4 linked regions of the Notamacropus eugenii genome follow. The protein of the gene in region 1 purifies or fractionates together with the protein of each later gene. This does not show direct contact. Links are inferred from orthologs where the notes say so. Each region holds a gene or a part of one and is shown in the gene's direction. Other genes may lie near its edges.

Region 1 (7,969 bases):
TACAAATAAGAAAAAGACATTCTCTGCCCTCAAGGACCTTACAAGTTAATAGGAGAAGATAATACACAAAAGGAAGATGAAAAGGAAGGGGAGTTAGTTGCCAAAGGGTATCTGGGCTTCAAGGCAACAAGTCTGTGGAATGAAAACCAAGGGGAGCTGCTGGCGAGAAATTGAAAGTTGGTTGGGAAATTCTGAGCCCTTGGTAAAGGGAGGCTGTGGGAGTTTTTCCATCTTGCAGTCAGAGGGGAGAGGCAAGTGAAGGCAGAGATCAAAACAAGGGCAATCTCCATGATGAGATTTCTGTTTAGTTTATCCTGGGGGAAGCATAATAGTCTTGGATGAAAGCCAACCTGAGCAGCTTGTCGGAAATATATAGACTATATTTTCCATTTACAGATATGGAATTAATTCCATTCTCACTACTCCTATACATGTTTCTATTTCTTAGTACTCTTCTGGTACTTATATGGCACCTGATGTGGTTTTGCATGTATCTTTTCATATGTACATTGGGAAGGGTGAAGGGTCAAGTAAGGATCTCAAACTTTTCTGCAAAACTATTGAGCAAGGACACAGTTGATCCAAAACAGATGCTGTTCAGTTTTGAAATAATAACCTGTGATTAGCATTGTATATTTAGAATTGGAAGAGACTTTAAAGATGGCTTTGTCCAGTGGTGTCAGACTCACTGAAACATATATAAAGATCCATGCAGGCTGCATATTGACTTAGGAAAAACAGGTTAATATCATCTTTGTTTTATTGCATTTTATTTATTTTTCCAAACATTACCAAACTACATTTTGATCTGTGTTTTGTGTTTGACACTTGTGATCTAGCCCAATACCCTTATTTTTCAGACAAGGTACTTGAGGTATAAGAAAGGTAAATGACCTAGTGTAGGGGCAGAGAACTTGTGGCCCTCCAAACTTGAAGATTTGTAGTCTTGAGGTCACATGTTCCACACTCCTTGTCTTAGTGGTTCTGGAATCCCTCCTGGCCACTCTGTTTTTCCCTAGAGGAGGTTTCAGTCTTGAAGCTTTTCTGCCCAATTATCCAAAAGCTCTTCCCCCTGACTAGTTATTTCTATAATGCCATCCTCATTCTTCAAACCACTAAGGCTCACACCATCAGTCATTTTTATTATAATTTTTCCTTACTTTCTCTTTACACCAGTCTCTTCAACCTACCCAGTATTATTTTCACAGAATCATTGCATTGGGAGAATTATTTAAATTTTAACTATCCTAACCTTCCCACTGAGTTCAGGAAACCCTTGTGAAGCACCACCATGGGGGAGGGGTAGTCAAATGGAAAAAGGATTAATATTCATTTCTGTGTCAGTTAAGCCTATAGTTTAAATATTCTAATGATTTCATTGATGTAGGTTGCCCTTCAGCAACATATGGCAACTCATTCATGTCTGCCCAGCTAATACAAATTTTATCTAATTCTTCTTATAAATTCAACACAAGGGGACCACCCAATATGCTGGGGGTCTTCCTTGAACTCTCCTAACATCTGGAGAAGAGCAGTATGTGGGCTATCCATCAGTTATCCCTCATTTTTGACAATGTGACCAGCCTATTTTTTCAGTCATATATATTTTTGTTGACTTCTTTGAACTGCTCCCGTTTTTGTATGTGCTTTCTTTGTAATGTACTTCAATTTACTTTGTTCATGCCTACCCTCAATCAGCAAACATTTATTAAGCATCCACTGCATACCAGGTACAGAGATACAAAAACATTGTGTTTGTCCTTCGTTCTGGAAGAGGACCATGACATCAGGATGATGACATGACTTGCAGTTGACTTTGATTTGAGTGAGGAAGGGCTGTGCAAGGTCACCAACCTCACTTTCTCCTCCAGAGCCATCTGGGTCCAGTAGCCTGATATTCATCAGGATGACTGGAGATGGTCCAGGATGCAATGTGAGACCCTGGACCTTTCAGGCTTAGGTCTTATCACAATCTTACTTTGAGTGAGATACACCCATTCAATGAATAGCCTTCTTTAAGTTACTCTAAGGATGGCCCTTTTAATAAAAAAAAAAAATCAAACTGGAAGGGGAAGACTCTCAGGGTTCCTGGTAAAAGAGAAACAATTACTATTTAGTTATTACATCCACTCTTGTGCTAGGAGGGTGGGGACTTGTTGTCCAGTCTATGACTCCAGAGTGAATTGGGTTTAAGGCTTGATCTTTGAGCAAGAAATGTAGCTGGTAAACCCAGAGAAAAAAAGGCAGGTTTTGGCCACGGAGTTTATCTTCCCCTGGGCAGAATACCAGAGGAGAACAGAGGAGAAGAGGGAGAGGACAGGAGAGGAGAGGAGAGGAGAGAGGAAGTGGGGGGAGGGGAGAGGAGCTACTACTCACTCATTGGCCTTTAAGGAGATTATATTCTGCATAGGGTTACATATGTTTACAGATAAACAAATACAAGCAGGATACAAAAATACAAATATAAATACAAATATAATAAAGACAGTATATAAATACAAAACCACTGACACTAACTGTTGGGGAAATCAGAAAAGGACTCTAAGGGGCTCATATTTAAACTGAACTTTGGAGAGCTAGGGATTACAAAATGTAGAGGTGGGTAGAGAACGAGTTCTAGTACTGGGCACAGCCTATGCAAAAGCATGGCTTCAGGGGATGGACTGTTGTGTAGAGGGCACAGTAAGTAGGCTAGTTTGACTAGAATGTCATATGTAAAGGTCAGTAATGTCAGTCTGTCAACTGACAAGCATTTATTAAAAGCTGTGTCAGGAAAGGCAAAAAACAAACAAAAAAACCCAGTCAGCATAAATTATAATGTCAGGGACAACATATACATAACTGGGTAAATACAAGATATATACAAAGTAGAAGGGAAGTAATCTGAAAGAGAAGGATTGAATGATTTAGGGGTTGGGAAAGGTCTTTTGCAGGAAGCAGACTTTGAGCAGAGGCTTAAAGGGAGTCAGAGAAACCAAGAGGAGGAGATGAGGAGGCAAAGTGTTCCAGGCATGGAGAAAAACCGTCGGTGTAAAGGGTCAGAAAGAGAAAGGATATATTGTTTGAAGAACACCAAGTATACCAGTGAAGCTCAATCAGAAATGGAAAGGATTAATTATTAGTAATGTGTAATCAGCCTGGAGTCAGATTGAGAAATCATCCATCCATCCATCCAACAACTAGTATTTACACAAACATGGCCCCAGCTCTCAAGGAGCTCACCTTCTAGACAGACAACCTGCAAACAATTACAAACAGCCAAAGACTGGATGAATTAAGAGATAATCATTGGGCAAAGGGTACTAGCTTTATTTGGGGGAGGGGTAGGAAAGAATTCTTGTACAAGATAGGATTTTAGCTGGGACTTGGAGGAAAACAGGGAAGTCACGAAGTGGAAACTAGGGAGAGAATTCTAGGTCTTGGAGAAAGACAGTGAAAATGGAAAGAACAATGTCCTGTGGGAGGAACAACACAGAGGCCAATTTCCCTGTATCACAGAATATGTGGAGGGGTAAAGGATTTAACAAAGCAGAGAGATGATGGACATATATGCAGAAAAACAAATTCATTTTTGGACACTGTCAATTTGGGAATTTGTTTTGCTGGACTATGCTTATATGACGTGAGTTGTTTTTTCTTTCTTGATTTCTTCATTTCTTTCTTGTTCCTTTCTTTCCTTCTTCCCTTTTTCAGTAGGTGAGAAGTGGGAGACCAAAAAAAAAGCTTGATAATACAAAAAATTAAAATTTATTTTAAAGAAGACTCTAAAAGTGGGACTGGGTCAGGTTATGAAGGGTTTTAAAAGCCAAAGAAAGGATTTGTATATTTGGTCCTGCAGAGAACAGGGACTGCTGTAGTTTAGTGAATGAGGAGCGGGAGGGTGCTGGTGACATGGTCACATCTGCAGTTTAGGAACATCGGTTTGACAGCTGAAGCTGGAGTGGGCGGAGGGCAACCAGAGGCTACTGCAGTATTACAGGGACAAGGTAATGAAGGCTTATGCCAGGTTTGCCCTAGTGTCACAAGAGAAATGGGAGTTTGGACAGTTAGAAGTGATGATGGTGACGATGATGACATTTCTATGGCACTGTGCTACGCCCTTGACAGTTTTCTCATTTGACCCTCACAACCACCCTGGGAGGTGGATGCTGTCATGATCTGCGTCTGACAGAGTAGGAAGTTGTGGTTCCAAAAGGTTCTAAAAGTAGAAGTGAAAAGACTTGGCCACAGATTAGATGTGGGGCATGGGAGTACGGAGGCCAAGAGGACGCCTGGGTGACTAGGAGCTGGTGGTGTCCTGGAGAACGGTAGCATTTACACGGCGTTTGGACGTTTGCCAAGTGTTTTACGGATATCTCACCGTGGGAGGTAAGGGCTCACTTCGCCTTTGAGAGGGTGGGTGACCTGTCCGTGATCATACAAACTAAGGACGCGTCTGGGGTCGGATCCAGCGCTTTAACCACTGCGCCGCCTACATACATACATACATACACATATATAATACATAATTGTACATATAAAAACAACAACAACAGAATTCTCGAGGTCTTCGATTTCGAACAGGCCGTTTCCACGTAAACCAGGTATCTCAGGTGTATCCCCAGGTATACGCTGCGGGAAGAGCCAGCCCAGCACCTGGGTTCGATCTTCGTGGCTCGGAACCTCAGTTTCCCCTTCCGTAAAATGAAGAGGCGGGCGAGGGCTGGACGAGAGGGCCCCCAAGGTCCTCTCCGGCTCCACCTCTAGGGGCATCCCCTGGCGATGCTACGGCAGGTGCCCGGATCTCCAATTCTCCACACTCCTCTCCCTCCCACCACCCGCTTCCCGAGGAGGCGGACAACTGTTTCCATGGCAACGGTAACCAGGCTCCGCGCGGTTGTAATCTCGCGATACCTAGCTCGGCGGAAGTGACGGCAGGCGGGAGTTCCTGAGGGGCTCCCCCCCACCTCGGTCAATCGCTGCTAGTCCACAGAGCTCCAAGCTTTTCCCGCCGGAGGAGCCGCTGCCGCCTGGGCCTCCTTCTGCCCTTTCCCCCCGTCTCCCCGCTCCCTTCCTCCCCGGGATGAACATGGCGTCCGCCCTGGAGCAGTTCGTGAACAGCGTCCGGCAGCTCTCGGCTCAAGGTCAGGCCCCAGGCCGCCGGACCCGGCCCGGTCCGGCCCGGCCCGTACTCCTTCCCCTGGGCCGTGGCTCCTTCTCCTCGGCCGGCAGGGGGGCCCCGGAGGGGGGAGGCGCCGTCCCGCTGCAGCCTCATTCATTCCCCTAGGCCCAGCCCTCCCGCCTCCCGCCTGGCTCCCGCGCCGGGCTGCGGCTCCGGCAGGGGCCCAGCGGCGGCTCCGCAGGCGGGTCTGCCCGGGAAGGCTTCCCCTCCCCCCGGGCCCCAGCTCCGCCCCCAGCAGCGCTTCGTGGAGGCGGGGAGGAGAGAGCCCTCTCCCTCCTCTGCTCCCGCTCCCGAGCCCGGATCCCGTCCCCTCTTGGCGCCCGGGCCGGGTCCCCCTCGGAGCGAGAGGCGCTTTGCTTGACAGTTTGCTGGGCGGTGACTTCCGCCATCGCTTTCTCCTGCTCGGCGATTGGCGGCCGGGGCGCCCCTTCCCTGGCCGTGATTGGCCGAGCGTCTGTCCGTCTTGCCCGCTCCGCTTCGGGAGCTTGTGGGGAAGAAGGCTCTCGGTATCCTTTGAGTTACCTGGACCTCTGCCTTTCCCTGCGAGTACGGAAGGGTGCGTGCCCCAACGCCCTTACAGACGCTTGAGCTAAGGTTTACAGGAGGTGCAGGCGGGTAGAGAGGGAGTTTGGGCACTGGGCACAGCCTGTGCAAAAGCATGGCCACGGGAGATGGAATGTCTGCCGCCCTGTTTGCCTTGCTCTCCTGCTAAGCAAGCCCTTTCGCACGGAGTTCAGTTTTTAAGGGTGGAAGGAAGAGAATGCCTGGTAGAGTTCTTGAACAAAATTATTAAAAGGAGGCCTTTTTTCAAAGCACTTAGGGAAGAGGTGGTTGTTAAGAGCCAGCCTGGATTCTTTAGGGAGATGTGGTTTGGTGAAAGTAGTAGGTTTGGAGTCAGGAAGACTTAAGTTCAAATCCCTGATCCTTAATTTTTTTCATCCTTAAAGCAGTGATTAAAGTAATAGAGATAAAATAGAGACGCTTGTATTTGTAGCCCTCCCTAAAAGGGAGGCTTAAATGAGATATTGTGTGTAAAGCTCTTTGCAAGCGTTGGAGAGCCAAGTGTGAGCTGTTATTATAAGAACAAGTCATACCAGACTGATCTCATTTCCTCTCTTAACGGGGTTTAGATGAGTAGAATTAATTTGACAAGGTCTCTGACCGTATCCTTATAGATTAAATGAACTAAATGACAGAACAGTTTAAATGGGCCTAGAGTATTGATTAATGTGTTGGAGAGAGGTCACTAGTGACACCCCAGAGTTGTGGCTTTGGTCCAATTCTATTCAGTTTTCTAATCCATTACTTGAAGTAACTTAGATCAAATTTGTTGTTGATGCTAGCTAATACCTAGGATGACAGAAGCTGAAACTAAAAAGATCTTGATAGCCTGATTTGGTGGCCAAATGAATAGGATGAAATGAAGAAATAAATATAGGGTCTTGGACCTAGGTTCGAAAAATCAACTAGACAAGTACAGAATGAGAAAGCAATGTGAAGATCTAGGACTTTTAATGAACTCTGAGCTCTGTGTTAGAGCTGATGTGATCTTAGGCATCACTAAAAGGAAGGTAATGTCAATAGTGTGGGACATAATATACTACTATAATATACCACTACACTATGCCCTGTTGAGATCATCATGACATTATTGTGCCAAGTTCTGTGTGCCATAATTTAGACTAGCTAGAATGTGTCCCGAAAGTAACGGGAGTTATCATTAGATGACCGATTAAAGGAACTGGTGATAGTGAGGTTAAAGAAGAGACAGTACAGGGGATGTGGCAGCTTCTTTGAGGTACTGAAGAATTGGCATGTGGAATGCTTAGACTTTTTCTGCTTGTCTTAAAGAGGCTAGAATGAGGACCTCTGGGCTGAAGGAGATACAGGAAGGCATATTTCAGTGAAATCTAAAGAATAACTTCCTGTTAATTAGAACTGCCCCAAACCTAGACTAGACTGCCTTTGAGTGCAGTGAGTTCCCTGTCACTGGAAGTGACCACATGTCAAGGATGTTGTAGATTAGATCCATGATTTGCTTAGGAATTGGACAAGATATCTCAAAGTCTCTTAGATGGCAATTCTGTGAGAGGCACTTTGTGCCTCATTTCTTCATATCCTTACTTAATTTCATGTCTTAAGTAAGGCATGCAGGATTGAACACTAGATAGTGGAGTGAGGATAAAGGGATCATGATTCAATAGTAAAAACACTAGACTTGGAATCAGAACACTTAGATTTAAGTTCCATTTTCATGTTTCTTAACCTATGTGGCCTTAAGTCATTTAATCTCTCTGGACCTCAGTTTTCTCAGATGTAAAATGGGCATAATAATTGCAGTAACTACCTCATAGCATTGTTTGAAGTCAAATGAAATAATGTAAAGCTTTGTATATCCATAAATTGTTATGTCAATTCAGCTGCTGATATGTATTCTAATGTTGAGCAAGTCTCTTCATTTATCAGTACTTCAAAGGATCAAAGGATTTGGAGTTGGAAGGAATCATATTTATTACCTCTTCCAACCTTCATTTTGCAGATGAGTGAACTGAGGCTTAGAGAGGTTAATTCACTTCATATTAGTAAGTTCGTTCCAAAATAAGTGGTGATGGTCTAACTGAATTGTCACTAAGGTTTATGAACTATTACACATATATGTGTGTCTTTTTTGTCTTCCTGCTAGATTAAAAGCTTCTTTAAAATAGGGATTGTTACCTCCTTTTATTTGTATCCCCTAGACCTATAGCAGTGCCTGGAACATAGGAGTCTTTACTGTGCTTTTTGATTGGGTAGCTTATTGTCATCTCT
Region 2 (8,174 bases), about 140 Mb from region 1:
AAAGTCCTGGAGATGGATCAAGGTAGAGAAGAGGAGAAAGAGGAAGGGCAGGCGGAATAGAATAACTGACACAAGACAGAAAATATACGGGAGTCAGAAATTGCCCCTCCAAATTTTCCTAAGGAGGAGAAGAACGTGATTGCTAATCAATGAAGCGGAGCAGGGCTGAGGGGCTGACTGAAACCTTCCTGTTGCCTTATCTGTCCTCCCAATCTTAACTCCAGCACCTTGTATCCTCTCAACCCCTTCAGGAACCCCGCAGTCCCCCGGATTCAGCGTCTTACACATCCCCCACCCACCTGTCCAAGCTCAGCACAACAGGTCTGTGCGCAAGAGATAAGCTTGGGGGTGGGGCAGGAGCCTGCCCCCATCCCCAAACCATTCTCTCACTACAAACTAGACAGAGCATTTCCCAGAGATGGACAGTAAGGGGGGTGAAGGGGAGAGTCACCGAGGAGGAAGAGGCCAATGAAAGGAAAAGAAGGAAAACAAGAGGGAAGAGAGCGAAGGAGAAGGGATGGGAAAAGGGAGGAGGAATGGGGAGACGGAGAATGCAGGCAAGGAGAGGGGAAAAGGGATGGCGACAGCTGGGACCAGAGAGCTGGAGCCGGAAAATAAAGGATGGAGATAGAGATACGGAATGAAAGATGCGGATCTAGATGGATGAATGAAAGATGCGGATCTAGATGGATAGAAATGGTGATGGTGGTGATGGAAAGAGAAATGGGGAAGGAGGGATGGAGGCATGAGAAATAGGGACAAGACAGATGGAAAATTGGGGGCTGGAAAAGAAGCAGGCTAGGAAAGGACGCAGGAGCCAGGAAGGACAGAGCCTGGGCACCTGGGATGAGGGATGGAGGTTGCAGGGTGTCGCACTCACCTGCTCCGTGGCTGATGTTTCGGGATGACTAGGGGGGCTAGAGGCTGTGAGGGGTTAGGGGGCTGCGGGGGGCGCCAGGCCAGGCGCATGGTCAGGGGACTAGCGGGCGGGGCGCGGGAGGAGGCGCCCCGGGTGTGGGGCGGCGGCAGAGGCTCAGTTCAGCTCTGCTCAGCTCGTCTTGTCTTGTCTTGGCTAGGCGTCAGCTCAGACCTTCCGTCTCCGCCTGCCACGCACTATTTAACCCTCCTGTTCCCATGCCGCTGGGGATCCGGGGATCCCCGGATGGTCTGGGATGTGGAGTAGAGGAAGGCTGTTGGTCATCCTGAGATTCCAGGTCGTGCCTATATGACTTTCAGTATATCTACCTACTCTTCACCATAAGAAGCGTATCACCTCATTTGAGTATCGTTCCAACTTCCTATGTTCCCACTTTGTCACCCCAATTCCATCTCACTTCATGTCCCCCACATCAGGGTCACCTGAACTCTGGCACCCCAGTTCTGCATCACTTAATTCCATGTGATCTCAATTCATATCCCCTACCAGACCACCTTCTTTCTTCTCCTTGGGACAAGGCCTAGAAAAACAGTGTAAAAATCCCAATCCTATTAACAACTTCCTGGGTTGTGAATGTATAGCCCTCAGGAATTACTGATATATATGAGGCAGGGACTTGGCTTCTAGGAAACTTTCCTGTGACTCAGATCACCCTCCACTCTCCTTTCTTTCCTTTTTCTTCTTCCATCCTTGGGTTAGTCTTTCATTTTCTATTTGCCTCTCCATCTACTCTTTCCTACACACTCCCACACCCACAAAGAATATAAACTATTTGAGATCAAGAACTGTTTTATTTTTCTCTTCGAAACCAAACATCTAGCATAATGCCTGGCAAATAGTGAACACTTAATAAATGCTTCTTAATTGAATGATTTTCATCTCTGATTGTAAAACTCTCTGTCCCCTATCTCTTTTCCCCCAATTTCTTTCTCTTAATTTTTTCATCAATATTTTCGTATTCAGGATCTAACGTTATATGCCAAGCTTCTTTCCCATCTTTTACCTTTGCCTACCATTTGGTTATTACCCAGAATTAGAAGAGAGATTATTGTTGAGGATAGGCTCCCAGAAGTTATCAAACGCTGTTGTGTTTCTGTCAATTTGTTCCACACAGCTCAGTGAAGAAGAGTCAGTTGTGCACACTGGAACACTTAGTGTGTGTTCTGTCTGCTGTTGGTATGTACCCTGGTTGTGCCATGCTAGATGTAAGTCCCCTTTTCATGTGTGTATGTTCAGTATGTACTTTGGATATATGTGTATGCTGGGTTTCTGCCTGGGATATGTGTATGTGCAATGGGTATTCCCAATCTGTAAAATTTGTGTATTTATATATGTCCATGTGTTGGGGGGGGAGGGAAGCGTGTAGGACATTGGGTCATTAGCTGAGTTCCATCTGCTGATTTTGCTACATTTCTTTAGAGTCATTTCTTAAATCCCTTTTGTTCCTGGTATTTTTTATAATCCTCGCATTTGTGCTGTGATGTTTCTTTACATAAAACTGAGCAATATGCCAGCATTTGGCATAACAATTTAACATAACTTTCAGTAGATGACTGGTTGAATAGGTCTGTTTTAGTTCTCAGTACTTTTCTTCTTCAGGTCTCTGTTAGACATTTTCTTTCTCTGATTAGTTATGTTTTCCAAGCTCCCCCTCAGCCTTATTAGCAGAATGCCCCGTGCAGACGTTGAGTTAATTTTTGTTGGGTGAATGAATAAATGAATTACTTGTTTGGGGAACTGTACAAAGTGAAAGACTCAATTGTTATCTTCTGCTGTTTCTCTATTTGTCTTCTCTATTTCTATCCTCTTTCTTTATCCTCACTTTTTATCACCTTTCTCATTTGCCTTTTCTGCTTTCCTCTCATCTATCCCTCTCTCATCTCTACTACCTGCTGTCCTATCTTTTTTTTTTTTTATCACCCTTTGTCCTTACTTCCCTTCCTCTCTCCCAGTTCATAAATAGAATCATACCCTCTTAGGAGTCAGAAAGGAATTTAGGATCTAATTCAACTTTGTCATTTTGCAGATGAGGAAACTGAGACATAGGTCAAATAACCTCCCCATGGGCACACAATTAATGAGTAACAAAATGTGGAACAATGGAGCTGGGCTCAAATCTTGACTATCCTACTTACTATTGGTGTGACCATTGGCAAGTTACTCAGCCACTTAAGGTCTATGTTCCTGTTGAATAAGGGGGTTGGACAGGGAAATGACACAAATTTATAGCATCAAGAGCCATTCCCAAGTACATAATTGACCAAAGGATATGAATAAACAATTTTCAAGAGGAGAACTGCAAACTACACATTTATCAAATCAAAACATGAATCACTAATAGAAAGAGAAATGCAAATAAGAAAAACTCACACCATGCAGATTGGCAGAGATGAAAAAAGATGAGAAGAGTTAATATTGGAGAGGCTATGGATGATGGTTAGGCATACTGATATTCTAGTCATAGAGCTAAGAAGTACCACCATTCTGGATTTCTAGTTGGAATCATATAAGAAAAGTAACTAAATTAATACTTTTTGCCCCAGCAGTCTCACTGCTGGGTACATAATGTAAAAGACAAGGAATAAAGGTCCAAAATATAACAAAATACCAAGTACTCTTTGTGATAGAAACAAACAAAACAAAGTAGGTGCTCCTCAGTTGGAGGCTGTTAAAAGAATGAGCTGTTACATGTAATAGAATATGAATGAAGTGAAAAAGTGCTGACCATGAAGAATTTGGGGAACTATGGGAAGATTTTATATGAACTAATATATAATAAGCAGGAGTAAAAGAAAAATATACAGAACCACAACACTGTAGTAGTCTTAATAAAAGGAATAATGGAATGACAATTTCTGAGAAGAGATGATGAAACATACCTCCTTTCTGACTGTCAGAGGGATGATTCGAGGACAGACTATTGTACCTATGTCTCGCATGGTCAGATGTTTTTGCTTAATGGCTTTTTTGTTACAAAGGAAAATTCATTCAGGAGAAGGGGTGGGAAATGGCTGTAATACAAAGACAAAGACAAAGCCTTAAAAAAAATAAAATGAAGAGAACGTGAAGACTTTTTGTCCTAGTAATGATGTGGAAATAAATCGATATTAACTGGAAAAATGTCAGAACAGATCATTGGTTATATGAATGTAATGGAATATTATTGTGTCAAATGAAATAGAAATAGGAAAAATTCAAACAAGCTTGAGATGAACTGATGCAGAATCAAAGCAATTGACGTGATGACTACGATAATGTAAAGGAAAATAAAACTGAAAGTTCATAACTCTGACAGATTATGACTTTAGAGTCTCATAAAAGAGATGGTGGACTATAGGCTACAAAATGAGAAATGCATTTTCAGGCATGGCTAATATATTAGTTTATAAAATATTTATTTTAGTTAACTATGCTTCCGTGTTACAAGAGAAGGTTCTATAGGGAGAGGAGAATCATTAGGACATCGATATTAAAAAATATAATCAATAAAACAATTTTTTAAATCCCAATAACAGACTCCGAAGAGCTCCTTCCTCACTGCAGAGAAATGGGGGACATAGACCTCGTCAGACAAAGCAAGATGTGCATGTTTTCGCTTAATTGTTTATCTTTTTCACGGGACTGCTCAATCTAGTAGAGGCGGGGGAGGAAGTGACTGATGCAAAGACAAAAGGCATCAGTAAAATGTATTTTTTTTAAGAAAAAATAATGGGTCGGACTAGATGACTTCTAAGGTCCTTTCCAGCCCCGAAGGTCCCTCTTCTCCCGGCTCTGTCTCCTTTTCTTCCCCGTCCCTTTCTTGCCCACGCAGCATCTACCGCGGTAAGCCCGCCATCACGCCGCCAGGACAGCTTCCCGGAAGGCTTTCCCTAACGGGAAGTGCGGGACGCTCAAACTTGTGGAATCCAGAGGCGTCTGCAATTATCACACAGCATTTCTAAACAATAAAGTTTTTTTGAAAGTCAAGGAGAAAAAAAACCCAGCAGTCGCCTGCCATTCTCCCGATGATGGCCAATCAGAACGTAGAAAGGGCCGGAGAGCCCTCTGCATCCCGCCCCGGGAGACTTCCGGAGCCTGTGACGTAAAGGAGCGGAAGTGGGGGCCTCGGGAGCGGGTCATAGAGTTTTGTGGCCAGAGTGGCCACGGAGGGAGGCAGTGGTAACGGTTTCTAGCAGCTGGCGGAGGTGAGGGAGGGGCCATCCCTCTAAGTGCACGCGAAGGGCGAAGGCGACAGGTAGCTGCTGCCCCACAGAGCCCGCTTTGGGGCTGCTGGGCTAGAGTCCGCAGCCCCTGGGTCGGCCCCCTTAAGGGCCGGGGGGAGACTGGAGGGGCGGGGGCGGAGCCCGGCGGAAAGCGAGAAGGGGGCGGGGGTCACGCGGGCCAGGAGGCGAGCAGGGGGCACGTGCCTCGCACGCGCACGCCCCTCCCCTCGAAGGGGGGGAGCTGGCAGAGCAGCAGGGTCCAGTCCTTCCCCTTAACCCTACGTTCCCGAGAGGGCGGCTGGGGGCGGGGGTTGCCCCTGTCTCCCGCAACACTAGTCCGAGTCTTTTCCTCTGACGAGCCTCCATTTGTAAGGGCCTCCCCCCACGTGGTCCTTCCTGCTTCCTTGCAGCTCCAGGCCTCCCGAGCCCCGTGGTCCCCCGCCCAGGCCAGCCATGAGCTCCGAGGTGAAGGTGACAGGGCAGAACCAGGAGCAGTTCCTGCTTCTGGCCAAGTCGGCCAAAGGCGCCGCCTTGGCCACCCTCATCCACCAGGTGCTGGAGGCCCCAGGCGTCTACGTTTTCGGGGAGCTGTTGGACATGCCCAACGTCCGAGAGGTGGGTACCTGTGAAGAGCCTCGAGGACCCTCTTAGGAAGCTCCGTCCACCGTCCCTGCCTCCCCCTTTAGATCAGAGCGCAGAGTGGCAGCCGGTGACTGCCACTGTTGAGCGGTATATCTGCCTCCAAACCCAGCAGGGTCCGCCGAGGTTAGGGCTACGAGGCCTCTCAGCAGCGAAGGCTGTTGTTGAGAAGCTGGAGACGTATAAGAGAATCACTTCCATTATTATTAACAAGTTCTTGTAGGTAACTAGGCAGATAGCTGGCGAAAGAGGAATGGGAAAGGCGTGGTCCTGTGAAAAAGTACCACGTAAGGGGCAGTGGCAAAATAGAGTGCCAGGCATGCAATCAGGAAGACTCAGCTTCCTGAGTTCAGATCTGGCTGCTGACACTAGCTGTGTGACCCTGGACAAGTCACTTCACCCAGTTCGCCTCAGTTTCCTCATCTGTAAAGTGAACTGGAGAAGGAACCATTCCAGTCAGTATCTTTGCCAGTAAAACTGCAAATGGGGTCACAGAGCCTGACACCACCGAACAGCTAACAAACAACCAAGGGGCACAAGATCTTCCAATTTTTTTTGATTCTGTGCCCAGTCCCATCAGTTAAACATTTTTTGAACAAACACCCCAAAATATATGTATTTTTAAATTATATGCATGAATTACTGTACAAATATGCTTTATGAAACATATACAAAAATAAGAATTTGAAAAGGATGAGATAAAGATGAAATGTTTTGAAATTTAAAACATTTTTTAGTACCATAGCAGTTTTTATGCTTAATGTCAGTCCAATGAGAGTATCCTGCTTGTTTGCACTTACTTATTTTCCTGTGTATGTCCTGTAAATAATATTTTGGTTAGTAATCTATTATGGGATCAGTGTAGTTAGCCAAACAATTGAATTTTTTTTTTGAAAATATATTTTAATATATTTTTCTGTAGAAAGATATACAATAAATAGTGAGCATACTAACTTAATTTAGAGTTATAATTCTTTGTGTAAGTATTTACCATATACAATGCAAATACAAGCAAAAGTGAATGTTCTCTGATTTCAACCCAGGAGAACATTTTCAGTATAAATCCATTCCTCTTTATATGGTTCTACTTAACAGATGGTGCGTTAATTTTCTGTTCATATTTGTATAGTGTAGTTTTGTTTTTGTGTGCATGTGAGGAACAGTCAGGAGACCAGTTTGACTAGACTATAGAGTGCAAGAAGCCAGTAAGTAATATATAATAAGTATGGAAAAGTGGGCCAGGGCCACATTGTGAAAGACTTTAAATGCCAAAGAAAGGAATTAATATTTGATTGTGGAGAGAGTATGGAAACCTTGGAGTTTATTAACTAGGGAGTTGACAATGGTCAGACCTGCATTTGGGGAAATCACTGTCAGGTCTATGGAGAAAAGTTTGGAATGGGAAGACACATAAGTAAGGAGACTAAATAGGAGGCCATCGTAATAAGGCAGGTGTGTGTTCATCCTTCGTTGCTGAAGAAGACCATGCCATCAGAAAAATGATGACATGTCTTGCACTTGTCTTGTTTTGAGTGAGGGAGGGCTGTGCAAGTCACCAGCCTCACTTCTCCTTCAGAGCCATCTGAATCCAGTGACCAGATATTCATCAGGATGACTGGAGATAATAAGACTGGAATGGAGGAGGGTTCAGATGAACAATCTGAACTAGGGTGTTGTGTGAGTGGAAAGACAGAAAAGGACTTCAGAGATGTTGTAGAAATATTCTATAGAAATGACAGGATTTGGCAAGTTTGGCTATGTAAGGTAATAGGAAGAGTCAGGGATAATAATGAGGTTGCAAATCAAGAGATACCCTTACAGGGACTTCTACTAGAGGGGCGAGTCTGGACAGAAAGATAATGAGTTCTGTTTTTGATTGTGTTTGAGATGTTTGTTGGACATCTATTTGGTACCGCTTATTCAGTTAGTGGGGAGAGAATTGGGCTGAATGTATAGATCTGGGAGTCCTCTGCATGGAGATAGTAATTGAACCCATGAGAGTTGATGAAAGAAAATAGAGATAAAAGAGGCCCAGATCCTTGGGGTACACCACCTGTACCCCATTGAGTATGACATGGATGATGAATTGGCAAAAGTGTCATAGAAGGAGCAGTCAAGCAGTAAAGAGACTCATGCCATGAATATTCAGAGAGGGGAAAATATGGAGGAGATGGTGATCAGTAATGCCCAATACTGCCATCAAGAGGGATTAGATTGAAAAGAGAGAGACCATTAGATTTGGCAATTAAGAGTGGAGAGAGCACTTTCAACTGAGTGATGATGTGAGAATCCAGATTACAGAGGATTAAAGAGAGTAAAAGGAAAGGAAGTAGAGACACTGAGCTTTTTCTAGGAGTTTAGTTAGGAAAAGAAGTGGCATAGAATGATAATTATTG
Region 3 (7,080 bases), about 260 Mb from region 1:
TGTAAGAAGACTGGAAAGGCAGAAAGGGTCCAGGTTCTAATGGACTTTAAATAGCAAGCAGAAAATTTTATCTTTTATCCAGGAGATAATAGGGAACCAGGCAAGCTTATATGTCTATATAGACATATATACGTATTGCTTATTACCACTACTCCCCTTCATTTATAAAAATACCAAATGCTAAGTCATGTGAAAATACTGTCACATTCACTGTATAAATATAATATATGCATTGCACATATATTTATATATATGTTTGTGTGTGTGTGTTTATGTATATAAAGCCTGTGGCCTCAGACACTGTGGCTTCTTGATTCAATCTTGGGTACTAAAACCTCATCAAGTTTCCAAAGCTCTCCTGTTTATACCCTCTATATATTGTAGGCCAAATATATATACATATGTATACCTAACATACAAATCCATGGTATATAACATCATATATTATAGTTTTGTACCAAGTACCCAATACATACACACCTTCTATCTGGTACTATCTGGTTACGTTTGTATGTTATTAAGGAACAAAGACCAGTCAAAGAGAGGAGTAAAGTTTAAACAAAAGGTTGGTTTAGGCTTAAGACACAAGGAGAGGATCCCACAATGTAATGTATAATTAACCTAGCTAGTTAGATGTTTAAGATAGGCTATCTAAAAATATACCATCTTTAGAATACAAGTGTGACAGGATGAGGAGAAACAGAATCTTTATCATAGGAGCTGACATATGCCATGTCAGACACCTGCAAAGAGGAAGCAAATGAAGAGATACTTCCCTGAACCCATGGTGTCTGTTCTTTTTTTTATTATTATTATTCTTTGCTGATTTTAGATGAATGTGTATCTCTCGTGGTACTAAGAGTAACTCTTGTGCAGGGAATGAGGGATAAATACTCTCTACATGTTACTGTAGTTCATCAGCCTCCACCACTCATTCCCAGCTACATAAAATAAATGTATCACAATGACACCATTTTAAAAATAAAACATTTGCTTAATGAGAAGGCAAAGAAAATAATACTTAATACTTGCAGTTACTCAGTATATGGTAATGCATAAATAATCAATACATCAAAATTAACTCAAAAGCTTGGGTAATATTCTCCTACTATTGCTCACAGTATTTATGGGGAAGAGTAGCCATACAATAACAGAAACCTAGCAGGGAGACACATGAGTGAGGACAACCATGTGATTAGGGAAGCTTGAAACTCTGGACCCACAGATCTTGATGTTCTTGGTCTTTTAAGGATCATTCTGGCCCACATAAAGATACTTTTACTGATTTTTCTCCTTCTGGTCCTTACCCCTGAGCAAATATTCTCCTTACTCACTTTTGAACTGGTGAAACAATGGTGAGCTCCTTCAATTCACAATCACCCTTAAAGAAGGCCCTGAGAAAGTATCATACAAGCACCATAAAGTCTAAAGACAAGCAGTTCCTTCTCAGTCAGACAACTGCAAAGCTCCACCCTTGGGATCTCTGGGCAACGCAAACAAGCCCAGTGAACGTTGCACTTTCCTATTAGTGTCAAGTCTCTTTTTCTGCCCACTAGAGATAAGAGGAGGAACCAGCTAGCACTTCAGAGAAGTTTCACCTCTTCATATCTGTAGATGGCAGTAGAGAGCAAGAGCTAAACCTACAGTCAAGTTCAGCTCTCCTCCAATCAGAAGGCTCCCAGGCTTTTCTTCAGCCAGTCTGCAAAGCAGGTTGTATATCTCAATACAAATTAACCACAAGAACTCTAATAGCTTCTAAAAAGGGTATAACAAGGTATAGCAAGAACAGTCACAAAACATTCTTTCACCCCAACTCCCAAACCTGGGACATACTTTCCCCTTGCATGTTCTCCTTGGACAGAGAGCTCAAACTCTCAAGGGGTATGAGGCACCCTAATAATAAAAATAACTAACACGTATGTAGTACTTACTTTGTGCCAGGCACTGTGCAAAGTGCTTTACAAGTATTCTCTCTTTTGATCCTCACAACAATCCTGAGAGGTTGGAGCTATAATTATCCTCATTTTACAGACAAAGAAATTGAGACAGAAATTAAGTGAATTGCCCAGGGTCACACAGCTTATATAAGTGTCATAGGTCAGATTTTGAACTTGGGTCTTGCTGATTTCAGGCCCAGTGCTCTATCCACTGTGCCATCTAGCTGCCAAAATAAGTACAGAGAACATGTGGAGTCCTTCCCATCTCCAGAAGTCACTACTACTCTGGCAAGTTCTGCTGTTGACTTTGGTTGCCAGCGAGACCCCTCTAATTGTTCTCATGGATATCTCCAATCATAGGTCACTGAGGGATTCCCATCTCAGGAGATTCATTCACCAAAGATCAGGAAAGAAACAAAAGTCTTATTGTTCTGGGAGAGGTAATAGACAGTTGTCTCTTGCTTGGTCATCTCCACTACCAGTTAACTGGAAGAAATCTTCCTTACTTAAAAGCCATCAAGGAAGAGAGATAAAGATCTGCTGCAAGCTCAGTTCTGACTCACACTCCCTTGAGTCATCCATCCCTCTGGTTTTTCAGCCAACGAGAAGACTCTTAAGTCACCATACAGGACTTGTCACCCATGTCTGGAAACTAGTTCCCATAAGTTTCATATGTGAGACTGGAACCTGGCAAGAAATATCTATGCATGTTCTATATAACCTACTAGGAAGGGAAAATCCAAACCATGATTTAAGAAAGAGTCCTTACTGGCCAGTTCTCCAATTATATAATGCAAATGTTTTTGTAATACACACACACACACACACACACACACACACATATGTATATGTATATATTAAAGCTAGGTCTCCTATGTTTTTGAACCTGTGATCTATAGGGCAAATTCAGCATTTAAAATTAGATTTAAAGAAGTATTTGTGCCAGAAATGCTCCCCTATAACCTAGTTCACTTCTGATGCTCCTGACTCCCTTTCCACTTCCTTCCTAGTGATCTTCTCATGTTAGAGACCCATTTATCCCTGTGACCTCTTTTATGGGTTCTCTTGGGACCCTCCATTTGAGGGAGTGCCTACCAGTGTTAGCCATGGATTGCTTTCCCCCATTAAAGGGTAAGATCATTGAAGGAAGAGACCATTTTTTTTGCTTGTATTCGTATCCCCAGGGATTAGCACAGTTACTGACAGGGTAAACATTAATAAATGCTTTATCTAAATAAGATAAATTTGGATGAGGAAACTTTACTGTGTTTAAGCATCAAGCTTTTACAAATTGAGGTGTACTACAGATTCAGTGTATTTGGGATACACCTGGTCCCATGGATTAGGACTGCAAGGTAATATTGGAGAAGACCGACTGTGGAAAAGAAGTAGAAAGTCAAGAATAAAAGTCATGATTGGATCAGTCTCCTTGTTTCTCTACCAAGCCAGGACAGGAATTTATATGGTTTGGGGTTCTCAAAGGAGTAACAAAGAAAGGAATATATGATTTAGACCCAGAAGTGACCTTAGAGACCCTCCAAGTCCAGTCCCTTCATTTTACAGATGAGAAAACATGGAGACTGTGAGAGCTAAGTGACAACCCAGATTCCCTTATTCCTTTGCTCAAGAGAGATTGAATTTTAAGGGTTAAATGAAGAAGCTACATTATAGCATTCATGCCAATTATATTGGTGACAGGGGAAAGAACTAGTATCTTATGGCTGTAGGCATCAGGCTACATATCTATATGTAGTTTTATATTTGGGAAAGAGCTTGTTGGCATTAAGTATATATTTTAGTATATATAAATGCATGTAACGATGTTTAAGTGAGATACATATTAAGTATGAAAATGCATATAAAGTTTTTGAAGATTCCTTTTTAAATTATTTTAAAAACTGAAATAGCTGTTCGCTAGAAAGCATATCAACTCTCAGCAGGTAGAAACAATGATGATAAGTTTTCATGAAAAGAGGGCTGGACTTGAAGCCAAGAGTAACTGTGTTTCAAAACTGTCCCCATTTTGCTAAGTCATTTTCCCAGCTCCCGGCCTCAGTTTTTCATCTGTAAAAAAGGAGGCTTGGCTTAGGTGATTTCTAAGAAACCATCCTTCTAGATCTGATCTAAAATTCCAGAACCGATTCTAAAAATAAAGGTAGGCATGTTTTCCGAAAATGACACTTCGATGTCTTCCTATTATTGTAAAACAATATTTAGAAAGGGCTTAGCCCAGTGGCTGGCAGAGGAGGCGCTTAATAGATGCTTATCCCTTCCCCCACCAAGGTGGGTACCAAATCACCCCGAGGTCTTCCAACTGTTTGCCCGGTTCTGGGGCAGTGAGGATGGGGAAATCAAGCCGCAGGTGTTTCTGGAGGTGAGCGAGAGGGACCTTTGCGGGTCTGGGAAGTTTGTGAATTTCAGTGGGGGGGGGGGGGGGGAGGGGGAAGGCCTTAGGAAAGACCCCCCCTCCCCGTGTGCGATAGCTGACTTGGGGTCCTACCTGGGCGTCGCTAACTTCCGGAACCCTAAAGCCCTGAGTCATGGGCGTGTGGATGTGTCAGAGACCCGGGGGCTGGGGCGTGGGAGAATGGCAGCGGGAGACCCCCCCACCCCACCCCCTTTCCGGTGCAGACACGCGTCGCCCAGGCCGGCTGCGGACTCCCGGTTCCCTGGGCTCCCTGGCTCGGATAGAGCCGGCTCACATGTCCGTTTCTCTTATTTATTTATTTACGGCGGCCTTTTGCGATCGCACTAAGTTGCACCCTCCTCGCTCGCCGTACCTCGGATTCTACCATCGCCCAGAGAGCCGGGAGGGAGGTCGGAGTCGGGAGAGACGACGGGGGTGGGGGGGTAAGAGAGGAGGAGGAGGAGGAGGAGGACGAGACAGCGGCCAGCCGACCCAGCCCGCGGCGGGTCCTCCCCTTCTCCCTTCCCCCTTCCCCTCCCCCTCTCCGCGCCGGGGGCATCCTCGGACGGCGGAGACCCGCAACTAGTCCCTGTGCCCGCGCGGGAGGCCTGGTGAGTGGCGGGCGCGCGGGGGTCGCCCCGGCCCTGGCGGACCCCTGGCGCCGGATTCCCCCCTGCCCCGGGGGTGGGGGGGCTCTTCCCACCCTCCCGCCCGCGGGCCCGGGGCCGCGGGGGCAGCGCAGTCACGGCCGCGCCGTGAGGAGGGGGCCGAGCTGACAGCCCCAGCCCGGCCCGGCCTTCCCTGTTCCCCGCCCCTCGCCCGGCCTTTCCAGTCAGGTAACCCCGCCGAGGGCCGGGGCCCTCCGGCGCAGTCGAGCCAGCCTTCCTGGGCGGCGGCGGGGTTCGAGGAGGGGGCCCTGAAAACCGCCTGGGCCCAGGCCCCAGGCCTCCCTGGACCGGCGGCCTTGGCCGCCCCTTCCTTGGCCCCATTTCCTCCGGAGGGAGGCAGGGAGGGGGAGGAGGAAGGGAGAGGGTGTGGGGTATAAATATAACGCGCATCTGTGTGCATGCGTGTAACCTACACATGTGTGGATGGGGGGGCCCGAGGTCATGCTTTTAGGGCGCCCCGCGGCAAGAAACGTTTTCACTTTGTTCCCTCGAGCGCCCCAAGAAGAAGACGAGGTGCTCCTCCTCCCGATCCAGGGTGCAAGGAAATGCACGGCCCCTGGGGCTGCCCCCCATCTCCTCCCCTGGCACCTGCAGAGACGCCCCCCTCAAACTCGCCTCATTTGGGGGACCCCCCAAGGGCTTTGCTAGGTTAGGCTCCTGCCCGCTGGACATTTAATTGTCCGGAGGCCGCATTAGATTCGTGCTGCCCCCTCCTTTCAAATTTAGGATTCACGTCTGCCTCTGACCTAGCCCGACCAGAGTCAGGTTAAGTGTTTATTTATTAGGAGTATTTACTAAGAGCCTGCTGTGTACCAGGCACGGTCCTAAGTGGTGGAGATACCAAGAAAGGCACAAGCTGCCCCTTCTATCAGGACGTTCACCATCTAGTCGGGGGCCACAGCTGGCGAACAGCCGGGTGCAGACCCGCTAGGACCTGGATAAACCGAGGGAAAGCCCAGGGCACTGCCCTCACATTGAGGAGGACCGGGAAAGGGAGGTTTCAGTGGAGACGTGGAGGCCAGGAGAAGACGAGCAGGAGCAGAATTCCAGGCGTGATGGACAGCTCTGGAAGAAGAACTGAGTCTGGAGATGGGGGGTCTTGTTTGAGGAGCAGCCAGGAGGCCAGAGTGCACGTACTGTAGAGTGAAGGAAGGGGAGAAGTAAACTTGTCCAAGCACAGCATTGAGCATCGGAGGACGCGTCCGACGTGATTTATTGGAACTTGGGGTTTGTGTTTCTTAAAAAGAATCTACTTTGTGAGAAGGGCCTTTTTTTTTTGTTAGGTCTATGTATCACCATAACCTAGGACAGTACTTGCAGCAAACAGTAGGTGCTTTATAAATTGTTTGCTGAATTGTATTGAATTAGATGTCAAGTTATAATAATGTCTACATTTTGAAAGATTATGCCTTTTACTCCACTTGGAATAAATTTCCACTAAAGAATGAAGTTCAGGCAAAATATTAATGAATAGACTCCATCCTTAAGATAGTCACAGTTCTTTGAGGAATATGTATTTACAAATGGTTGGTAGAAGCTTGTGAAAGAACATTTCTACAATGCACACATGATATTTTTAAAAAATTCTCTTATTTGTATTTCCACAAGAATGCTATAGTCATACATGACTCTGGACCTTGTGATGCTTTAAAAATTAACTACCAGGCATCCATATGCCATTTATTTTCAGTCACCAGCACATCAGTGAGTGGGACTCTTGTATATCTTTATATCCATCAATGTCTTTTACTTGATGCCTACATGACTACTTAAAAAGCTGTTATATTTATTGATGTTTTTACCCAGTTGTTACAGTGTTCAGTCTTTTTTGTTTTTTTCTAGCCAATGTACCTTTTAATAAGTGAATATACTCTCTAGACTGATTAGATGGAAGGTCAGATGTTCAAAATAACTTTAAACTGTATATGCTTTTGCTTCAAGGTTAAGGTGTTTTGATAGGTTGAAAAATTTAAGTAGATTTTGAAATATCTATACCAAGATCAATAAATAGCTTAAATGATTTTTAAGAAATTTCCTATTAGGTTATTTAGAAGACATTTTTATTCAT
Region 4 (7,077 bases), on another chromosome or scaffold:
TTTTATGATCTCTTTGGGATAAAGCCCTAGAAAGGTAATTGTAAGGAGTCCAGTGGGACACACTAGCCAACCATCTATCCCTCCCGGTCAGAGAACTTCCTCTGGAAGGGACCTTAAGGGCATTATATTCTAGTGCCTTCATTTTACAGTCACTGTATGACAAGTTCAACCTTTTTTTTTTTTTTTGATGATATATTTCAACACTTCCCTGATGATATCCTTTACCCTGCCTCTCCTGTACCGTTTGTCTTTTATAACACACTGCAGCCTTCTCACATTCATTCACTGGCTTCTCTATTGTCCTCTGGGGCACCCTTGACTTCAGGCCTTCAGAGTGTGTATTCCACACCTTACAGCCATCCTACACTATCAAAAGGACCTCCCAATCAAATCAATATGTACTTTGATACTTGGTGAGTTCAGTACAAGAGTGAGCACAGAAATGCTAGAAAATGTTTCGAGAATAAGAAATAAGGAAAGCCAAAGATTTGCTGAATGTACAGATGTCACATATCTATATAAATGAAAACTTCAAGAAGATTTGGGAGGTTAATACAGCAAATGATATAACAAAAAATGAAATATTTTAACAGACAGAGAATCACTCATTACTAATGTGGGAAACTGTCTGTATCCAGTCAGACTACCAACTTGATAGAGCAAAGTTCAAAATTAATACAAAACTAGAAAGAAGACAAACAGGAGAGAGGAGGAAATAGGGCATTCAAGTGAAACAACTTCAACTACCACAGTTGCTTACTCTTTTAAAAATTCTGATCAAGGGTTTCATAAATAGCACGTAATAACTTCAAGGTAAAATTCTCTTCAACACTTGCAGTCCTGTGTCCTGTTCTAGTATGCAGGGATAAGGCAGAGACGATTACAAGGTTTAGAAACATATTATCTGAACAAAGGGAAAGGTATTGCCAGGTATTGCCACACCTTGTAGTCATTCAGGTACATAACAGCACCTGAAGCACAAAGTATCTCTCACAGTTTGTACAGTATGATGTACAATTAAGCCTTGATAAATTATTTTAATGAGGATGGTAAGATTGGTCTAGGACATTTCAAGCCAAAGATAATTGGTAGAAAATGTTCTTCTTCCTCGTGGCCAGGGCTGAGTATGAAATAAACAACATAAGCAGGTGCGCTGGCATTCCTTACTACATGAAAACTCCGCAGGTTGTTCCAAACTACAGGGAAGTGCACTTGCCCAATGATTCAGGGCAGTAGGTAGGCTGACTGCTGGTACAGTCAGGAATCTAAACAGCCCACTGAGTATTCTGGCTTCCCTCATCTGCCCTCTGGTGGAGATGCTAGTGAGCAGGAAAGCTGACCTAAGATAGGCAGTCAACAACACTGAGAACCTATTCAGTATAGGATATGTGGAGGATGGGGAAAGGCACTGGGGAGAAGGCGGGCAGAAATAAAAGAAACAAAAGGTCCTTTCCCTTTCATACAGCTGGGGAGAAACAGTACAGAAGCACATCAAAAAGAACATTCACCAAGCAACAAAAGGCCAACGACTGTAGAGTGGCGCCTCACTGATTCAGAGTGGAGGAGAAATATGATTTAAAAGTCTAAATTATGTTTTCCAAAGATATAATTTTATTATTTTAAGTAATAATCACACCTTATTGTAACTAGCTTATTACAGCTACTTCACAAAAGGACTTTCCCACAAGCATCTTGCTGGCATTTTCCTCCAATGCCATGAAGTAGGTAAGGGAAGCATTTCCCCTATTTTAGGGATAAGTTTAGGTGACTGCATCATTCAGCTAATGAGCAGTGGAGGCTAGAATCTCAATCCCAGGCTGGGTGGGTCTTGACACGTGTCTGCAATGAGACTCAGCAGGTGAAACAAACTAACTAGTTCTCAGGCTACATCGAGAGTCCAGAGGCATAAGGACCATCACACTGCGCTGCAGGGAGGCTGCTACAGGAATACTGTATCCACATCTGGGAATGGCATTTTAGGAAAGACTGAAAACTAGTGTTGCCTAGAGTCAAGGGCGTGTCGGGAGGTAAGTGGGCTGGTAATGCCATCCCAGCCTCAGGACCCAAGTAAGGCTGCTTAGCCTGGGAAAGACACATTTAGGGAGTAGAGGTAGCGCAGAAGTAAAGACAATTGTTTGGTGCCAGGAGCAAAACCAGGAGCGAACTTGGGAAGAGCAGAGATGTAAAGAGAAGGGAATCCCCAAGTCAGGAGCTTCCAACCCAGGCTGCCTAGACGGCCCCTGCTCGGTGGGTCGGAAGTTCCTCCACTCTTTCCACAGTTCCTATTTAGGGACAGCTAGGTGGGGAAGGGCATGCAGTGATGCACCTGCAGTTAGGAGGACCTGAGTTCGAAGACAGCCTCCGGCACCTTCCAGGTGTGGAACCCTGAGCAGGTCACCCAGTCTGTTTGCCTCAGTTTACCCAGCACTACAACGGTGACAGTTGCAGCCCCCACCTCTCCGAGGGGCAAGGACAAACTATTTATAAAGAAAGCTTCGCCAGCGCCTGCCACACAGCGCTGTACCCGATTAGCGTGTGCCTGCTACAGACACCAGGTTCATGCTATACAACCTACGTGGCTAAGCTAGGTCCGAAACGGGCACAAGTAAAACGATCCCAGTTAAAAAGGAGAGGAGGGAGGGGGATAAAAGCTGTCTGTGGAGTGGGTGGATGCCTCTCCTAGCGTCCAGCTCTGGAAGGCAGGAGGCGGCGCCATGGGAGGCAAAGATTCGGAGGCTCGATGGAGAGCGGGGCCAGGCACACTCGAAGGGGCTGGGCTCTCCGTCCCCGGAGGTCTTCGGGCAGGGGCGGCGGGGGCGGCACCGAGAGGCTCCCTTCCACCGCTCCACTTTTAGGGCGCTATCCACCCAGATCACCCGATAGAGGCGGGGCCCGCGCGGTGCACCAGCAGGGGGGGGGGGGGGGGTGCACCAGCAGGGGGGCTTGGAGGCGGGGCCCGCGCGGTGCACCAGCAGGGGGGGGGGGGTGCACCAGCAGGGGGGCTTGGAGGCGGGGCCCGCGCGGTGCACCAGCAGGGGGGGGGGGGTGCACCAGCAGGGGGGCTTGGAGGCGGGGCCCGCGCGGTGCACCGGCTCGGAGGAAGGGCCGCGCTGGCTCAGCACAACAAAGGGACTTTGGCCCTCGGCCTTGGACTCGACCCTAATTAGTTACACATCAACCCGGAGCCAAGGAGGGGGGCCGGGTACCTGGTCGGGGTGGGGAGGGAAGAGGGGCACGACCTTGGACCCTGCACGCACCCCGGCAGAGAAGGTCCACAAACACCCCGGGAGGGGTGCGGGAGGGGTGGGGGAGGGCCTCCCCCCAGAGCAACGCCAAGGTCCAGAGCGTTCCCCAGGGCCCGGGGCGGAGGGGGAGGGGCGGGGCGGACATCTTTAGGGCGGGTCCGTCTGAGCCCCAGCACACAGATTTAGGGGTGCCTGTCCTGGGAGTGTGGTGAGAATGGGCCACGGGGTGGGTAGGGCAGGCCGGCTGCCAGGCTCCGGCCTAGAAGGCAGGCTCGCGGAGCTCCACGCTGCCGGCCCACACCGTTGGGCGGCTACTAAAGGCACAAAAGCCCCTGGGCCCCGCGCGCAGGCCCGGGAGGGCAACGTGCTGGAAAGGGCGGCTCTGAGACCGTCTAAAAAGTGTGGATCCCGGGGAACTGGCAGCTTTAGGGACCGACTTCAAATGATGCCGCTGGTGCTCGGCGAAGGCCAGCCCCCAGGCGCCTGGCTAGCAAATCCGCGACTAGGTATTAGCATATCCCGCCTCTCCCTTTCTCCGCCAATCAGCACCACCCCAGAAGAATCCGCGGCCGCGCCTACCCTCCGCGTTCCCTACCTATCCCAGCCCTCGGAAACAAAAGTCAACAAGGTTTCCCCGTCCCCTCCAGCCTCGCCCCGCCCTTTCACCCGCTGTCCTCCCCTCCTCCCCTCCACAACAAGCTCACTTAGTCCCGCCCACTCGTCAATCACTCGGACCCGCCATCCGGCGAGCGCACTCGGGTGGGCGGGGCCAATTGGCCGATCGCGTGACGCAAGCGGGAGGCGAGCCCGGGAATCGGAGCGCTGCGTGACGAAGCCGCACAAATCTGTTAGAGCCGTTAGGAGAAACGCCGTGGATAAATATAAGCCGGGCCTCACGTGCCGCCCTCTCGCCTAGGTTTTATGTGCTGCCCTTGGTGAGTGAAGAGTCGCGGGCCAGGCATTAACCCCTCTCTTGGGTGGGAGGAACCCTAACCTCCCCCCCCAACCCCGCGTACACACCCCGGACATACCACGTGGCCCTGAGCGGGAGGGGGAGGGCGGTCAGAGGGGAGGGGGAGGGCTGCGAAGCCGGATTCTAACCTCATTGGCTCTCGCCTCCGCCGGCTGTAGCAGGCCCGCTCTCTGATTGGTGGGCAGGCTGCTTTCCTCCAGGAGAGCTCTGATTGGCGGCCTCCCGGGGATCTCCCCCTCCTCCTCCCTTCCCTTCCCCCTGGAGCTCGGCTAGGTGAGCTCGGAGGTGAACCTAAGGAATCTCCCGGCGAGGGCTGCGACTCCTGGCGTTGGAGAGTGATCGCCGCCCTCCCCGCCCCTTTCCGCAGGCTGCAGCTCCGTCGGCCTCCCTGGAGCCCTGGGAGCTGTCACTGGCGGAGGGGAAGGGCCCCCTGCTGTGAAGAGGCCCCGGCGGAGGGCTGGAGGATGCAGTGACCGGGAGATGGACTCGCCGGGCAACAGCAGCGCCTCGGAGGCCTCGCCGTACGGGAGATATGAGCCTCGGTACAGCGAGGAAGATGACGATGTGGATCTGGCCTATTTCCTCCCCAGGTAACTGGCTCTGCGCCGTGCGTGGGCCCCCACGTGGGCCCCCAGCCCCGCCATCCGCGCGGAGCCCTGCCGGCCTCGGGGCCCTTCCCCAAGAGAGGGCGGCGCTGTGCGTGGGGAAGGGGGCACAGTGACATGCCCACTGTGGTAGTGAGGTGCCCGACTTGCCAAGTAAGTAAACAAAGGGGAAGGGAAGGGGGCGGGGCTCCGCGAGGTCGTGTCGGCCGCGACCGTGGACTTGAGCTGGAAGATCCCTCCGCAGTTGTTTGTACAGGCAGAACTCTTCTGGTGGTCAGGCATTCCGCTGCTGACTTTGGCTCTGGAATCTCGGCTGAGGTTGCCAGAAGTCTGCTGAGATACCTCCCGAGAGCGGGCTTCTGCAGCCTGATGATGCCCAAAGCTCGTCCTCTTGGGGCCCCCGCTAACAGAAGGGCACCCGAGATTCCCTCTCTGAGGTGAAGTGGCTTAGTATTGAGGGATCACCCCCTGCCATGAGGTCTCTCCACAGGGGCCAGGTGAGACTGGTACAGGGAGGTGGTGCCACCAGCCTGCAGCTCATCCATACGCTCTCTGACTCAGATGATGACAATGACAGCCCCTGGGAGGGTCGTCTTGGTGACAGATACAACCCACCTGGTAAGAGGAAAGGGTGCTTGGCTTCCAGCATCGTAGGCATCAGTCGGCCCAAAGTCTGGCTCCGCAGGAGGTGGGGAGAGAGATCAGTTAATGAGATGAAGAGTCCTTTGAACCTCATACCTCCTTCCATCCTCCTTTACGCTGGTCACCTTCCTGGCCATTCATCCTCATTGACGTCTGTCTTCTGTGACTGAAAGGCTGAGGCAGGGTTGCTGCTTCTTCTTACAGTGGATTCAAACCCAGACACCCGAGAGCTGGAGTGCAATGAGATCAAGACGCAAGTAGAGCTGGCCACAGGGCAGCTGGGATCCAGTAGGATAGTGCAGGAGCAGAGCTTTCCTCGAATGCTGCACCAGGTAGGCTCCCTTACCTGCACTGAGCTAGGCACTTTGTGGATAAAGAACTGATTTAGAGTCAGAAAGACCTGAGTTGGAACCTTGTCTCAAACATTTGCCAGCTGTTTGACTCTGAGCAAGTCACTTACCCTCTCATCCTCAGTTTCCTCATCTGGAAAATGTGGATAGCACCTGCCTCACAAAGTTTCAAGGCTTGATCAGCTGGTGTATAGAACGCACTTGGCAAATGTTAGAGTTCTGTAAATGTGTTAGCTATTTGGGGGGTACAGAAGGGCAGTCAGAAGTTCTGCCAACTACACCTGGAATGAGGTGAACTCTAGAGAAAAGAGTTTGAAGCTGGCAGCAGAAGTACCTCGTGTATGGTGGCCTTACTCTCTTGTCTCTTCCCTGCAGAGAGAACGTGGCCTCTGCCATCATGGCAGCTTTTCTCCTGGGGAGCGATCCCGTGTAGTGTCTCAGTAAGTTTGGGACCAGGGTACTCTCATTTTGAATTTAGTGGGACCAGATTTGAGGAAGGTCCAGAGGACAAGTAGATGGGACCATACCATAAAATTAGAAGTGGACATATTAATAGGGAAAGTTGGAGTTGTTAAAGTTGGGAAGGAAGGGTAAGAGTTACTGCTATTGGAGGAAATGAGAAAGTTAACCGCTGTTGAGTAAGGAATATAATTTTTTTTATTAAAACTTGGTAGTATGGATAAGGAAAAAAATTCTGAGCAAAGGGAAGAGGGACCTCATGTACTGGTGTATCTGGGGTGCTGTTGACACCAATACCTCCTTACCTTGATGTCCTCTTACTGTTATTTTTCTCCTTTTTCTCAGTTTCTTGCCCAATTACTTGAGCTTCACTGACTCCTATTTCCATAAGGCTTTCTGTGGCGTGTACAGCAAGGATGGTCAGATTTTCATGTCCGCTTGCCAAGGTACCTAGACCCAGTGACCACTCCCTTGAATGGGGAACCACGAACCCAACCCCAGCACAGAGAACAATTTCCCATCAGCCCATAGATTGGGGAAGCCTCTGTTCCAAGATGCCTTCTGGTTGGGAGATGTCAGCAGGATGTAATTCTGAATACCCTGCATCAGAAGGAAGATCTCATAGCTGTAGTAGGTGGCCAAGGGTGAAAAGAGAAAGTTTCCTGAAACCTATCTATTCCCAATTCTCAGACCAGACAATTCGACTGTATGACTGCCGCTATGGCTGCTTCCATAAGTTCAAGAGCATCAAGGCCCGGGATGTAGGTTGGAGTGTTCTAGATGTAGCCTTTACGCCTGATGGG

The links.
Region 2: the proteins of COPS3 (region 1) and COPS7A purify together in Homo sapiens (affinity purification with mass spectrometry; 14 studies listed by BioGRID and IntAct, counting the BioPlex papers as one, with this or other methods). This does not show direct contact. The link is inferred for Notamacropus eugenii from reciprocal best matches to the Homo sapiens genes COPS3 and COPS7A.
Region 3: the proteins of COPS3 (region 1) and CUL2 purify together in Homo sapiens (affinity purification with mass spectrometry; 5 studies listed by BioGRID and IntAct, counting the BioPlex papers as one, with this or other methods). This does not show direct contact. The link is inferred for Notamacropus eugenii from reciprocal best matches to the Homo sapiens genes COPS3 and CUL2.
Region 4: the proteins of COPS3 (region 1) and DCAF11 purify together in Homo sapiens (affinity purification with mass spectrometry; 3 studies listed by BioGRID and IntAct, counting the BioPlex papers as one, with this or other methods). This does not show direct contact. The link is inferred for Notamacropus eugenii from reciprocal best matches to the Homo sapiens genes COPS3 and DCAF11.

What each region holds. Positions count from the first base shown.
Region 1 is NC_092874.1:334,073,471-334,081,439, reverse strand, and holds the start of COPS3 (COP9 signalosome complex subunit 3), read left to right. Parts: upstream 1-4,874; 5' UTR 4,875-5,062; coding exon 5,063-5,123; intron 5,124-7,969. UniProt on the Homo sapiens protein: Component of the COP9 signalosome complex (CSN), a complex involved in various cellular and developmental processes.
Region 2 is NC_092874.1:194,984,638-194,992,811, forward strand, and holds the start of COPS7A (COP9 signalosome complex subunit 7a), read left to right. Parts: upstream 1-4,990; 5' UTR 4,991-5,171; intron 5,172-5,549; 5' UTR 5,550-5,592; coding exon 5,593-5,754; intron 5,755-8,174.
Region 3 is NC_092874.1:75,148,214-75,155,293, reverse strand, and holds the start of CUL2 (cullin-2), read left to right. Parts: upstream 1-3,957; 5' UTR 3,958-4,092; exon of another isoform or gene 4,093-4,311; intron 4,312-4,715; exon of another isoform or gene 4,716-4,955; intron 4,956-5,089; exon of another isoform or gene 5,090-5,180; intron 5,181-6,221; exon of another isoform or gene 6,222-6,239; intron 6,240-7,080.
Region 4 is NC_092878.1:9,161,478-9,168,554, reverse strand, and holds the start of DCAF11 (DDB1- and CUL4-associated factor 11), read left to right. Parts: upstream 1-4,010; 5' UTR 4,011-4,180; intron 4,181-4,450; exon of another isoform or gene 4,451-4,585; 5' UTR 4,586-4,698; coding exon 4,699-4,808; intron 4,809-5,313; coding exon 5,314-5,441; intron 5,442-5,669; coding exon 5,670-5,797; intron 5,798-6,190; coding exon 6,191-6,255; intron 6,256-6,619; coding exon 6,620-6,720; intron 6,721-6,964; coding exon 6,965-7,077. UniProt on the Homo sapiens protein: May function as a substrate receptor for CUL4-DDB1 E3 ubiquitin-protein ligase complex.